Cricetulus griseus: one gene and its partners. The protein of the gene in region 1 purifies or fractionates together with the protein of each later gene. This does not show direct contact. Links are inferred from orthologs where the notes say so. Each region holds a gene or a part of one and is shown in the gene's direction. Other genes may lie near its edges. The genes, in order: Ocrl, Plekhj1 and Rab1a.

Region 1 (3,650 bases):
ATATGCCTTTCTAATCCAGGAGTCCAGTGCCACCTGCTACCCTAACATGCATCATTTCCTCGAATTCAGTCACAACTGCAGTTCCTCATATGCTACACAGCGCTTAGATGTGAACAATTAAGACAGTCACATGAGTCATCCCTTCTGCCTTCCCGCTTAGTGTACTATCTGCCTCATCAAAATTTCCCAAACAGTTGTCCTCATGATCCTCAGGAAGTGGGTTTTTTGTCAGTTTAGTTATAGCTCCTTACAGAACAGTTGTCCATATTAGACTGTGCACAGCACAAAGATATCTCTTTCCCTTCGTAACCTAAAGCTCTCCCTTAATGAATTTGGATGGTGTTTAATTGAGTGGAAATTTGGCAAAACAGTTAAGTGTGTTTGTTTGAAATACAGACCTAGTTCCTTTTTGTTGATTCACTTGATGTAAAATACAATAAACCCATGCCTTTGTATTCTACGAGCAAATTTTTTTTCTTATGTATCTGGAAAAACACTTTAAAGAGTTATATTAATCAAGATACCCTTTCATAGAAGTGTTAAGAGCAGTATTGTTTGTTCACACTTTATCTTTGTTTTCAAATTAATTTTTTGTTGTGCTGTATTAGATTTTTTGTTGGAACATGGAATGTGAATGGCCAGTCTCCAGATAGCAGCTTAGAACCTTGGCTGAACTGTGATCCAAATCCTCCTGATATTTACTGCATTGGGTAAAGACCACTTCAGGACCTTCCTTTTCCTAGATTTGGTATTAATGTAACATGACTTTGGCCTCTCTCTCTCATGTTTGTGTGTTTATGTATGTAAATGTGTTAGCCTGTACATGTGAGCACCAGGTCATTGGGCATCTTCCACGATCACTCTCCATCTTATTTTCTTTCCTTTTTTCTTTCCCTATTTCATTCATGTATATAATGAATTTTAGTTGTTTCCACCCCTATTACCTGCTCTCTCTCCTGCTGAAACCTTTCTTCCTAACAAGTCTCCCTTCTACATTCACACCTGCTTTATATACATAACCCATTGCGTTTATTTGGAGTTTCTTGTGTGAGCGTGGATGGGAGGTTATTTACTGGCACATGAGCAACTTCTCTGTGGGTTTACCACTAAACAGTGTCAGCCTTTCTACCAGCAACCATTAACTGCTCATTGCCCATCAGAAAAGGGTAGAACCTCATGGACCCCTCCCCTATCCATAATGAAATGTTGATGGGCCCAATCTTGTACAGGTCTTATGCAGATAACCACAGCTGTAGTGAGTTCAAGGGGAGCAAGGACTCTGTCATCCAGAAGATGTCTTTTGCAGTACATGTCCCCATGTTCTGGCTCTTACATTCTTTCCATATCCTCTTTCACATGTTCCCTGAGCCTTGGAATATGTGATGTAGCTGTCCCATAGTGGCAGAGCACTCCACCATCACTAATTCTCAGCACTCTGACCAGTTAGGAGTTCCTACATTAACTGCCACCCACTTCTATGATAAAGCCTTATCGGCCTTATTTTGCTTGACACAGGGTCTCTCCACTGAGCCAGGAGTTTGCCTACAGATCCTCCTGTCTTGCTGGAATTGCATTCATGTCCTACACAGCCAGCTTTTTTATTTAACTTGAATGCTGAGGATTGACCTCATATCCTCACACTTGTACAGCAAGCACTTTACTGATGGATCCATTTCCCCATCCTTCATCTTCCTATTTTAAAAACTTGTTTGGTAAAAACTTGATGCGGACTATATGTGAGGGTTAATTTGTGGGTCAAAAGAAAAAAATTAATGAAACACAAAGGAAACTGCTCATCCTAGGAACACATGACATCAATTCTCATAGTGATTATTAAAAGGTTATAGATGTTTCACTATTGTCCCTAAGAGAGTTTTGATTGTTATCATTTAGTTTTGCATAACCTATGAATATAATAGTGGGGGTTCTTTAGAAAAACTACTTGTCTTTTATAAAACTTATCTTGCCATTTTTTCCTTTACCTAATGTCTCAGCAAATGGGAAAGGAGGTAGCAGGTAGCAGCCCACAAAAACTTGTGGGGTGTGTATAGCTCCTGCATCCATTTTTCCCTCAGATTCCAAGAGCTGGATTTGAGCACAGAAGCCTTTTTCTACTTTGAGTCTGTAAAAGAGCAAGAATGGTCCATGGCTGTGGAAAGGGGTCTGCCTTCAAAGGCCAAGTATAAAAAAGTAAGCTGCACTGGATTCTCTTTTTCAGTGTATAACTAAGTAGACCTCACTGGGAGTTATTCCATTTTCTGAGCCTCTTCCAAAAGATTTGTTAAATAACTGAATTCTTCCCCATATGAAATACTGTGCTATAGGAGACTAATCTACCATAGTTACTTCTGGGTGGGGGGAAGCATAAACTTTCTGTTCATAATTTTTTATCACTTAGGTAGTTTTTAGAAGAAAACCATTTATTGTTTTTGTATAAATAATTACATATAAGCTAACTGATCTGTCTGTGAAAGTTTAAGATTGTTTGCCAACGTGGCCAGAATTAAATGCCTACAAGAAAAGCAGAATGAAGCCTGTGGGTGCATAAAGTATCCATTACATTCAGAACAAGAATAACAAATTCTAGACTTCTTTGTAGGTGAAGAATAAAGTTGAGGAGCTGGAGAGATGTCTCAACAGTTAATAGCACTGACTGCTCTTCCAGAGGTTCAATTCACAGCATCCACATGGCAGTTCATGACTGTCTCTAACTCCAAGATCTTACACTCTCACACAGACATACATGCAGGCAAAGCACAAATACACATAAAATCAAAATAAATAGTTTTTAAAAGGTGTGTGCCATAACACCCAGCTATTGTTTAAAAAAGGAAAAGAAAAATAGTCTTTAGAAGCTATCTGATAGATGCATTTAGCTATTAGGAGAGTTATTTTCATTTTAAGATGACTATTCTAATCTCAGAAGGAGTAATAGAATGTTCTTCTATGCTTCTGAACAGTGTATGTAGGTGGCATAAATCGTGAAGTTGTTATGGCTCTCTAGCTCAAGTTTAGATTTAAAAAAAACTCAAAATTCAAAGGATCACTGTTTGTAGATTTAAATATCTTAGACAATGAGAAATCAGAGTCTAGGAAGGAAAAGGAAGAAGAACAAGCTTGGATAATGGTTTGTTCTTTACTATTTGAACTTTTAATGTATATCAGTAGGCTACAGAGTGATGTAAAAAGAGAGGTAAGACAGAATATGAGTTAGTGGTAGAGTACCTGCATAGCATGCTCAAGGTCTTTTATTTGATCCTCAGCACTGACAAATAGAAACAGAGAGAGAGGAACAAACTTATGCATTGTCCTTGGAGCTTCTGACTTTTATTCATCAAATTTAAACTAGAGCTTCCATAGAGAACCTTGGTTTCCAGTTTATGGGGTCCAATAGGAAATTAAAGGATGCAGATCAGATTTGGACATCTTTGTTGGTCATTCTGGGAAGGTAGCTATGTTGCAGAGAGTGATGCTCATATTAGCTGTTTGTAACTCCCTGGAACTCATAGGTTCAACTAGTCCGCCTTGTGGGGATGATGCTTCTTATATTTGCCAGAAAAGATCAGTGTCGCTATATCCGTGATATTGCTACAGAAACAGTTGGAACTGGAATTATGGGGAAAATGGTGAGTTACTTTGACAATTAAATT
Region 2 (3,750 bases), on another chromosome or scaffold:
AAAACTAGCTTGGGTGAGCATGCGCCTTGGTTCTGGGGTAGGAGCAGAGTCTTGCAAAATCTCACCACTGAGCTACCTTTCCCAGCCTGTGACATTTTCAACCTCGGGAAACACTAGCAATTGTGGTGGGCATGGTGGCAAACACCTTTCACATCAGCTCTTGTCTTGGGAGGCCAAGGTAGGAAGACACCCGAGTTGGAGGCCAGCCTGGGCTGCACAGTAAAATCTTGTCTTAAAAGCATTTGGTGTCCTTCCAGAGGATCCAAGTTCAGTTTCTAGCACTCAAACTGGGCAACTGACAACCACCCGAAACTCAAGCTCCAGTGGATCTGGACTCATTCACATGCACAGACACACATACACACGAAGAAAAGATAGTCCCGGAAAAAGAAACACGGGGAAAGCAATGCGAACACCAGCACTTATCTTTCTGCTTCCTGACTACAGCTGCCTCAAGCTCCTGGGACAAAACTTCCCCACCAAACTGAATTGCACTCCTACTGTCAGCGGTAATAAACCCTTCCAAATTAAACAGCCAGGTGCGGCGGCATATGCTGTTAATCCCAGTCGTCCGGAGGCAGAGGCACCGCGATGTGTGTGAGGTAAGAGTTCCTGGTCGGCCAGAATTGGGCAGGGAGACACTGTCTGAAATAGAAGTTCTGCCAACGCCTGGATGCGCTCACAAGTGAGGCGTGGGGCAGGAGGGAGAACGGATGGATGGAGACGAGCTACCTCACGGACCACCATAAGATCACCGACAAACGAGACAGGGAAACGAAGTGCTGTCTGAGAAGGAGACGGCCTGGGATGGAAATACCGTTATCTTCCAGTCCCAGCAAAGGACCGGCTCGGGTGGGCGGCAGCAGCAGTCGCCAGGGCCCTGACTAACGACGAGGAAAGCTGAGGCAATCAAGGAGCTCAAAAGACCCTCAGGAACCGGGGCACGCTGGGGGCCGCAGACGCGCCACGGAAGCCCGCGATGCCGCCGCGGCCACTGGGCCGCGCGAGCGCCGCCGCGCCGCCCGCCGGCCGGCCCTTCCGTCCAGCCCCGCGCCCTCGCTGCTGCTTCCGACCCCCTTCCGAGACACCAAAGCCGGGGTAGCTTCCACCAACAAGCCGAGTAACACCTCACCGGCGCCAAAGGCCGCGCAGCCCAGGCGTAACGTCCGCGAGGCCCACGATTTCGCTGTGCGCACGCGCAGGCCGGACTAAGCAGTCACTTCCGGGGGAAAATAAGGCGGAGTTTCGGTTGTGCGCATGCCCAGAAGATGGACTCGGTTTAAAGAGGCGCGAGTGAAAGGAGCGCCGGAGTCCGAAGTGCGCACGCGCACTGAGTTATTCACGAACTCTCGCTGAGTATCGCGACAGGACGAAATCGTTATGTCTCAGCAGCCTCGGAACGCGCTTCGCTTGACAGGGGGTGCTACGGATCTAGCTTGATACCTCACGTTTAGTGTGTTTGACAGTTACCTAGGACGGGCGACTTCCTTCCTTTCTGACTCTGCGAGCAACTGCGCCCGCAGACACGCTAGCGCCCCGGCGCGCAGGCGCAGTAGCTCTGCTGGGACTTCCGGGAATGTTCCCTGAGACTTTTGTGGTGCTGAGCGCACCTTCCGAGCGGACGGCGGCCGAGAGGCAGGGCGCCCTCCGGTTCGCGCGGGTCCCCACGGCGTGATGCGGTACAACGAGAAGGAGTTGCAGGCGCTGTCCCGTCAGCCGGCGGAGATGGCGGCCGAGCTGGGCATGCGGGGCCCCAAGAAGGGCAGCGGTGAGCGAGCCGGGGCCGCGGCTGGGCACCTCCCCGGGGGGCGGAGGAGGACAGTTCCCGCTGACACCGCCCCGTGTCCGCAGTGGCCAAGAGGCGGCTGGTGAAGCTGGTCGTCAACTTCCTCTTCTACTTCCGCCCGGACGAGGCCGAGGTAGGGGCGTGGGGGGCTCGGGGGGCCCGCGCGGCCCGGAGCCGGCCGGCGCTCATGGCCGTGTCTCGCGCAGCCCCTCGGAGCCCTGTTGCTGGAGCGCTGCAGAGTGGCCCAGGAAGAGCCCGGCGGCTTCTCCATCAGTAAGTGCGCCGGTCCCCACAGTCCCCACTCCGGACTCTGCTCCGCACACCCCTCCCCACCCCCGCCCCAACCTCCGTTTGTCCTGGATCCCGAGTTTCCGGGGCCCAGCGCTGCATCAGCTGTCAAATTGCCCCCGGGTCTGGTCCCCGCTGGTGCGACCATAGTTTCTTCCCCGCCTTCAGTACCTGTTCACGGCAGGGATATGAGCAGCCTGCGCAGACTTTGTTGGTGTGGCATAAACAGTTCCTCCCGCCGGCAGGGCTTCTGAGGTTTTGAAGTGACATCTGATTCAGCCTTCTTCCTTGGTGATCTTTACAGTACCGTCCTGTAGACATTTGGCCCTCATGTCTTCCTCCATCATCACGGGGTTCTCCATCACTACCCTTAATTTCTGCTTCTTGCACGTGTATATTGAGGCCAGATGTCAATTTCTGATGTCTTCACCTCTCCCTTAAAACAATACATCAATATGTACACATACGTGTATTTGTGTGTGATCGAGCATGCCCCTAAGATCAGAGGACAACTTTGGGTAGTTGGTTCTCACCTTCCACTGTGTGGGTTCCCAGCATTGAACTCTGGTCATCACGCTTGGCAGCAAGCCCTGAGATCCAACTGTCTGTTTCCTCAGCACTGAAATGACAGCCACCTGCTGTGACATAGGAGCTGGGGCTTCTCCCCGGTCCTATTTCACTTTAGGGTCCACCCTGATGGCCCCACATTAACCAACTCCATATGCAATTGCCTGGCTTCCCAGTGGGTTCCCTATTCCTGGGCTCTGGAGGAGCCAAGCCAGCGTTTGAGAGGAAGCTGAGCCTTGAGGCCAGCATGATTAGGCCCCGTGGACACCGACAAGAGTTGGCTCCCTTCCTTTAATCCTTTCTAGGCTTCGTGGAAGACCTCAGCAGGAAATACCACTTTGAATGTTGTAGCCAAGAGCAGTGTCAGGAGTGGATGGAGGCTCTTCGCCGGGCCAGGTAGGGCTTTGGGGACCACTGGGAGCTGGGTTGGGGACTGATTGGTGAGCCGGGTTCTTTCTTCCAGCTATGAGTACATGCGACAAAGCCTCATCTTCTACAGGAATGAGATCAGGAAGATGACAGGCAAGGTGTGTGGGATGGTGGGGAGGTGGCAGGTGGGAGGCGTGTAGGGTGGTGGCAGGTGGGAGGTGCAGCCTTCCCTGGCCTTGTTCACAGGCACCATGTACCCCACAGGACCCCTTGGAGCAGTTTGGCATCTCTGAGGAGGCCAGGTTCCAACTGAATAGCCTGCCTAGAGACGAGCAGACTTGTACTGGCTCCCAGCTAGGTGTGTTGGACTGACCTTCCCTTGGGCCCCTGGCTGTCTTGGGAGGTGTTTTTTAAAAAAACGTCTGATCAAAGCCAGACATCCAGAGGAAGTGGGCAGGGGCTATGGTCCCTGTTCCCATGCCATCTCTCTGCCAATACCCTTGAGTGCCCCCACCCAGGGACTGAGCCTGGCACAGCTCCCACCCGTTACCAGGTGAATGTATAATGCTAGGTAAAGCTGTGAACCCCACTCCTGCTGATAGAGCAGGCCATGGTGCTGGCCTCCAGTGCTGAGCCTGCTCTTTAATAAAGGTACCTCTTTTCCAAGCCACACAGTGAAGTGAGTGGGGAGAAAGGGGGCACAGGTGGCGGAACCACTTTTCTCAGAGGTTAGCAACCAG
Region 3 (3,750 bases), on another chromosome or scaffold:
ATTGATAAGAGTCAGGTTGGAATCGTAGATCTTCATATTCATAGTCTTTTGAGTCTCAGTCTAGTTTTAGCCAGAAAGAAAGGAACAAAGCCAGCGTTGGTTCTGTCAATACCGTGCTCATTGAGGTGAAGTACTTTCACTTGGTGAAGTACACCTCCTTTTCCCACTAGGGCATGGCAGAACAACCTGATTTGGGATGAATGGCTGCAGCCAGGAAGGAGTACGCTGTGGACTCTGGATTCTTATTTTTGCCAACTGCCTAGCATAAAAGAATTTAGAATTTGGTGTCAGTACCACCAGCCAAATTGTAGGCAATGTCTTTGCTTCTGGATTTTAACATATTTGATACTTGCAGTGCAGTTTAATAATGTAAGCATTGAATTAGGATCTGTTGTGTCTGATCCTAATAATCTACAGTTTCCTCTTGTACTTCCCAAGTCTGTTGTAATGAAATTGTTTTGCCTTTCCTGATTCTTTTCTAATAGTGGGACACAGCAGGCCAGGAAAGATTTCGAACAATCACCTCCAGTTACTACAGAGGAGCCCATGGCATCATAGTTGTGTATGATGTGACAGATCAGGTGAGTTCCTAGAGACTATTGTATGTGTGTAGATTTTCGACACACTGTGTAGTTCTGATTGACCTGGAAATTATTATGTAGACAGAATGTCCTTGAATACTTTTGATCTGAAAGTTATTTTTACCATTTGAGAAATTAAAAAAAAAAATAAAAATTAGCACTCATTTTTCTTGTAGCAAATGTTAAATCAACTCTTTGTGACTTATGGGCAATTTGGAAATAACTGAAGACATTTAGGAGCAAAAGATGGGTGAATGTGGGCAGGAAAAGAAAATGCTACATTAACATGATGTCGTGTGCCTGGGTTCTTGCTACTTGGGAGGCTGAGATAGGCTCTCAGAAGACTGAGACCAGTCTAGGCAGCACAACACAGCAGATCACATCTCAAAAAGGCCAACACCCAGAGCAGACAGAACATGTTACTTTTTTAAAATTTTATTTTTATTTTATATACATTGGTGTTTTGCCATGGGTGTTGGGTCCCCTGGAACTGGAATTACAGACAGCTGTGAGCTGCCATGTGGGTGCTGGGAATTGAACCCCGGTCCTCTAGAAGAGCAGTCAGTGCTCTTAACCACTGAGCCATCTCTTCAGCCCAGAACATGTTACTTTTAAACGTCCAGTCTATCACCATTATTTTGTTGTGTTTTGAGACAGAGTTTCTCTGAGTAGTCCTGGCAGTCCTAGAACTCTGTAGAACTCAGAGATCTGCCTGCCTCTGCCCTCTAAGCACTGGGATCAAAAGCATGTGCAATCACTCCCAGTCTACCATAAAATATTTTTGAGAAAAGAAAAAGGAAAAGGTCTCACCAAAAGTTTTTTTTTTTTTTTTTTTTTTTTTTAAACTAGTTTTCTCCTCCCCATCCACTCACTATCTTGTAGTGGCATTTAAGCTCAGAGATTTCTGCATGCCAGGAAGTAGTCAGTCCCTGAACTGTACCCTCGGGCCAAACAGTTATCTTTTTGATAGTAGTAACACTGCTGTTATTCATGACCAGTTTTTGTTGTTAATTTTTGTTTGGTTTATTTTGAGACAGGATCTCCCTTAAGGTAGTCCTGGCTGACGTGCAACTAACTGATTTTGTAGAATGGGCAGGCCTAGAACTCAGAGATCCACCTGCCTCTGCCTCCCTAGTTCTGGGATAAAAGCTGTGTCACTACTCAGTTTAAAAACCAGAATTCTACTAAATTTCAGAAACTAGGTTTTGTTAATATCTAAATTTCAACTTAAAATTGGGTTTGCCTGGGGGCTGGAGAGATGGCTCAGCGGTTAAGAGCACTGACTGTTCTTCCAGAGGTCCTGAGTTCAATTCCCAGCAACCACATGGTGGCTCACAGCCACCTTGAATGAGATCTGCATGCAGGCAGAAGACTGTATACATAATAAATAAAATCTTTAAAGAAAAAATTGGTTTGCCTGTCATTAAATATTAAACTGTTTCCCTTCCCAAATAAGCTATTTTCACTTCAAGCCTGCCAGTCCTCCTTATCATTCATTAGATGAACATTGTCATTGTAATATATTAGTTCATTTCTTTTCTTGCATTATAGTTATAGCTAGAGTTGCCACAAAATGAGCTGTTATCAGTTGATCATTGGTTGCATCCAAAACTGTATCATCATTCTTGTCTTTAGGAGTCCTTCAATAATGTTAAACAGTGGCTGCAAGAGATAGATCGCTATGCCAGTGAAAATGTCAACAAGTTGTTGGTAGGGAACAAATGTGACCTGACCACAAAGAAAGTAGTAGATTACACAACAGCGAAGGTATGTATGAGGTCTGATTTTCTAATTACTTAATTAATTTTGGGACAGGGTTTCTCTGTATAACAGCCCTGGCTGTCCTGGAACTCACTCTGTAGACCAGGCTGTTTTCGAACTCACAGAGATCCTTCTGCCTCTGCCTCCCAAGTGCTGGGATTAAGGGCATGTGCCACCACCACCTGTCGAGGTTTGATTTTCAAGTTGAATTTTAATTATGGGGACGGGAGTCATACAGTGGCTAAACTTTTAAAAGCCAGTGAATTTAGTCCTTCATTCCCATTTCAGAAAGCATTAACAGCAAGTTAGAAAGGTTTTCCAGTGTTGATTGTTCCTTATTACTCTCTCAGGAATTTGCAGATTCCCTTGGAATTCCATTTTTGGAAACCAGTGCTAAGAATGCAACGAATGTAGAACAGTCTTTCATGACGATGGCAGCCGAGATTAAAAAGCGAATGGGCCCTGGAGCAACAGCTGGTGGTGCAGAGAAGTCCAATGTTAAAATCCAGAGCACTCCAGTCAAGCAGTCAGGTGGAGGTTGCTGCTAAAATTTGCCTCCGTCCTTTTCTCACAGCAATGAATTCGCAATCTGAACCCAAGTGAAAAAACAAAATTGCCTGAATTGTACTGTATGTAGCTGCACTACAACAGATTCTTACCGTTTCCACAAGGTCAGAGATTGTAAATGGTCAATACTGACTTTTTTTTTTATTCCCTTGACTCAAAGACAGCTAACTTCATTTTCAGAACTGTTTTAAACCTTTGTGTGCTGGTTTATAAAATAATGTGTGTAATCCTTGTTGCTTTCCTGATACCAGATTGTTTCCCGTGGTTGGTTAGAATATATTTTGTTTTGATGTTTATATTGGCATGTTTAGATGTTGGGTTTAGTCTTCTGAAGATGAAGTTCAGCCATTTTGTATCAAACAGCACAACCAGTGTCTGTCAATTTCCATGCATAAAGTTTAGTGAGACGTTATATGTAAGATCTGATTTGCTAGTTCTTCCTTGTAGAGTTATAAATGGAAAGATTACACTATCTGATTAATAGTTTCTTCATACTCTGCATATAATTTGTGGCTGCAGAATATTGTAATTTGTTGCACACTATGTAACAAAACTGAAGATATGTTTAATAAATATTGTACTTATTGGAAGTAATATCAAACTGTATGGTGATAAGTATTGTTTTAATTCTTATGGTTAAAGGGAAATAGGGATTTGCATTATACTCAACAGCCAATTTGTGTGTGCAACAAGGGCACTGTAGACCTATCTAATAATAGCACAGCATCCAGTATTTGCTTTCTAGTAATAGACCTGCTAAGTGACCTAGAGAAGCTTCTGTGCTGTGTAGACTGAACCAAATTCATTGGTTCAAGGAGCTCAGAGTGTATGGAAAACAAGT

The links.
Region 2: the proteins of Ocrl (region 1) and Plekhj1 purify together in Homo sapiens (co-immunoprecipitation; 3 studies listed by BioGRID and IntAct, counting the BioPlex papers as one, with this or other methods). This does not show direct contact. The link is inferred for Cricetulus griseus from reciprocal best matches to the Homo sapiens genes OCRL and PLEKHJ1.
Region 3: the proteins of Ocrl (region 1) and Rab1a purify together in Homo sapiens (co-immunoprecipitation; 3 studies listed by BioGRID and IntAct, with this or other methods). This does not show direct contact. The link is inferred for Cricetulus griseus from reciprocal best matches to the Homo sapiens genes OCRL and RAB1A.

The regions. Positions count from the first base shown.
Region 1 is NC_048604.1:21,516,241-21,519,890, reverse strand, and holds part of Ocrl (inositol polyphosphate 5-phosphatase OCRL), read left to right. Parts: intron 1-608; coding exon 609-710; intron 711-2,075; coding exon 2,076-2,190; intron 2,191-3,509; coding exon 3,510-3,626; intron 3,627-3,650. UniProt on the Homo sapiens protein: Catalyzes the hydrolysis of the 5-position phosphate of phosphatidylinositol 4,5-bisphosphate (PtdIns(4,5)P2) and phosphatidylinositol-3,4,5-bisphosphate (PtdIns(3,4,5)P3), with the greatest catalytic activity towards PtdIns(4,5)P2.
Region 2 is NC_048598.1:101,579,081-101,582,830, reverse strand, and holds Plekhj1 (pleckstrin homology domain-containing family J member 1), read left to right. Parts: upstream 1-1,411; 5' UTR 1,412-1,674; coding exon 1,675-1,768; intron 1,769-1,851; coding exon 1,852-1,919; intron 1,920-1,992; coding exon 1,993-2,059; intron 2,060-2,946; coding exon 2,947-3,037; intron 3,038-3,104; coding exon 3,105-3,168; intron 3,169-3,256; coding exon 3,257-3,382; 3' UTR 3,383-3,680; downstream 3,681-3,750.
Region 3 is NW_023276807.1:86,262,901-86,266,650, reverse strand, and holds the end of Rab1a (ras-related protein Rab-1A), read left to right. Parts: intron 1-485; coding exon 486-581; intron 582-2,216; coding exon 2,217-2,348; intron 2,349-2,692; coding exon 2,693-2,890; 3' UTR 2,891-3,510; downstream 3,511-3,750. UniProt on the Homo sapiens protein: The small GTPases Rab are key regulators of intracellular membrane trafficking, from the formation of transport vesicles to their fusion with membranes.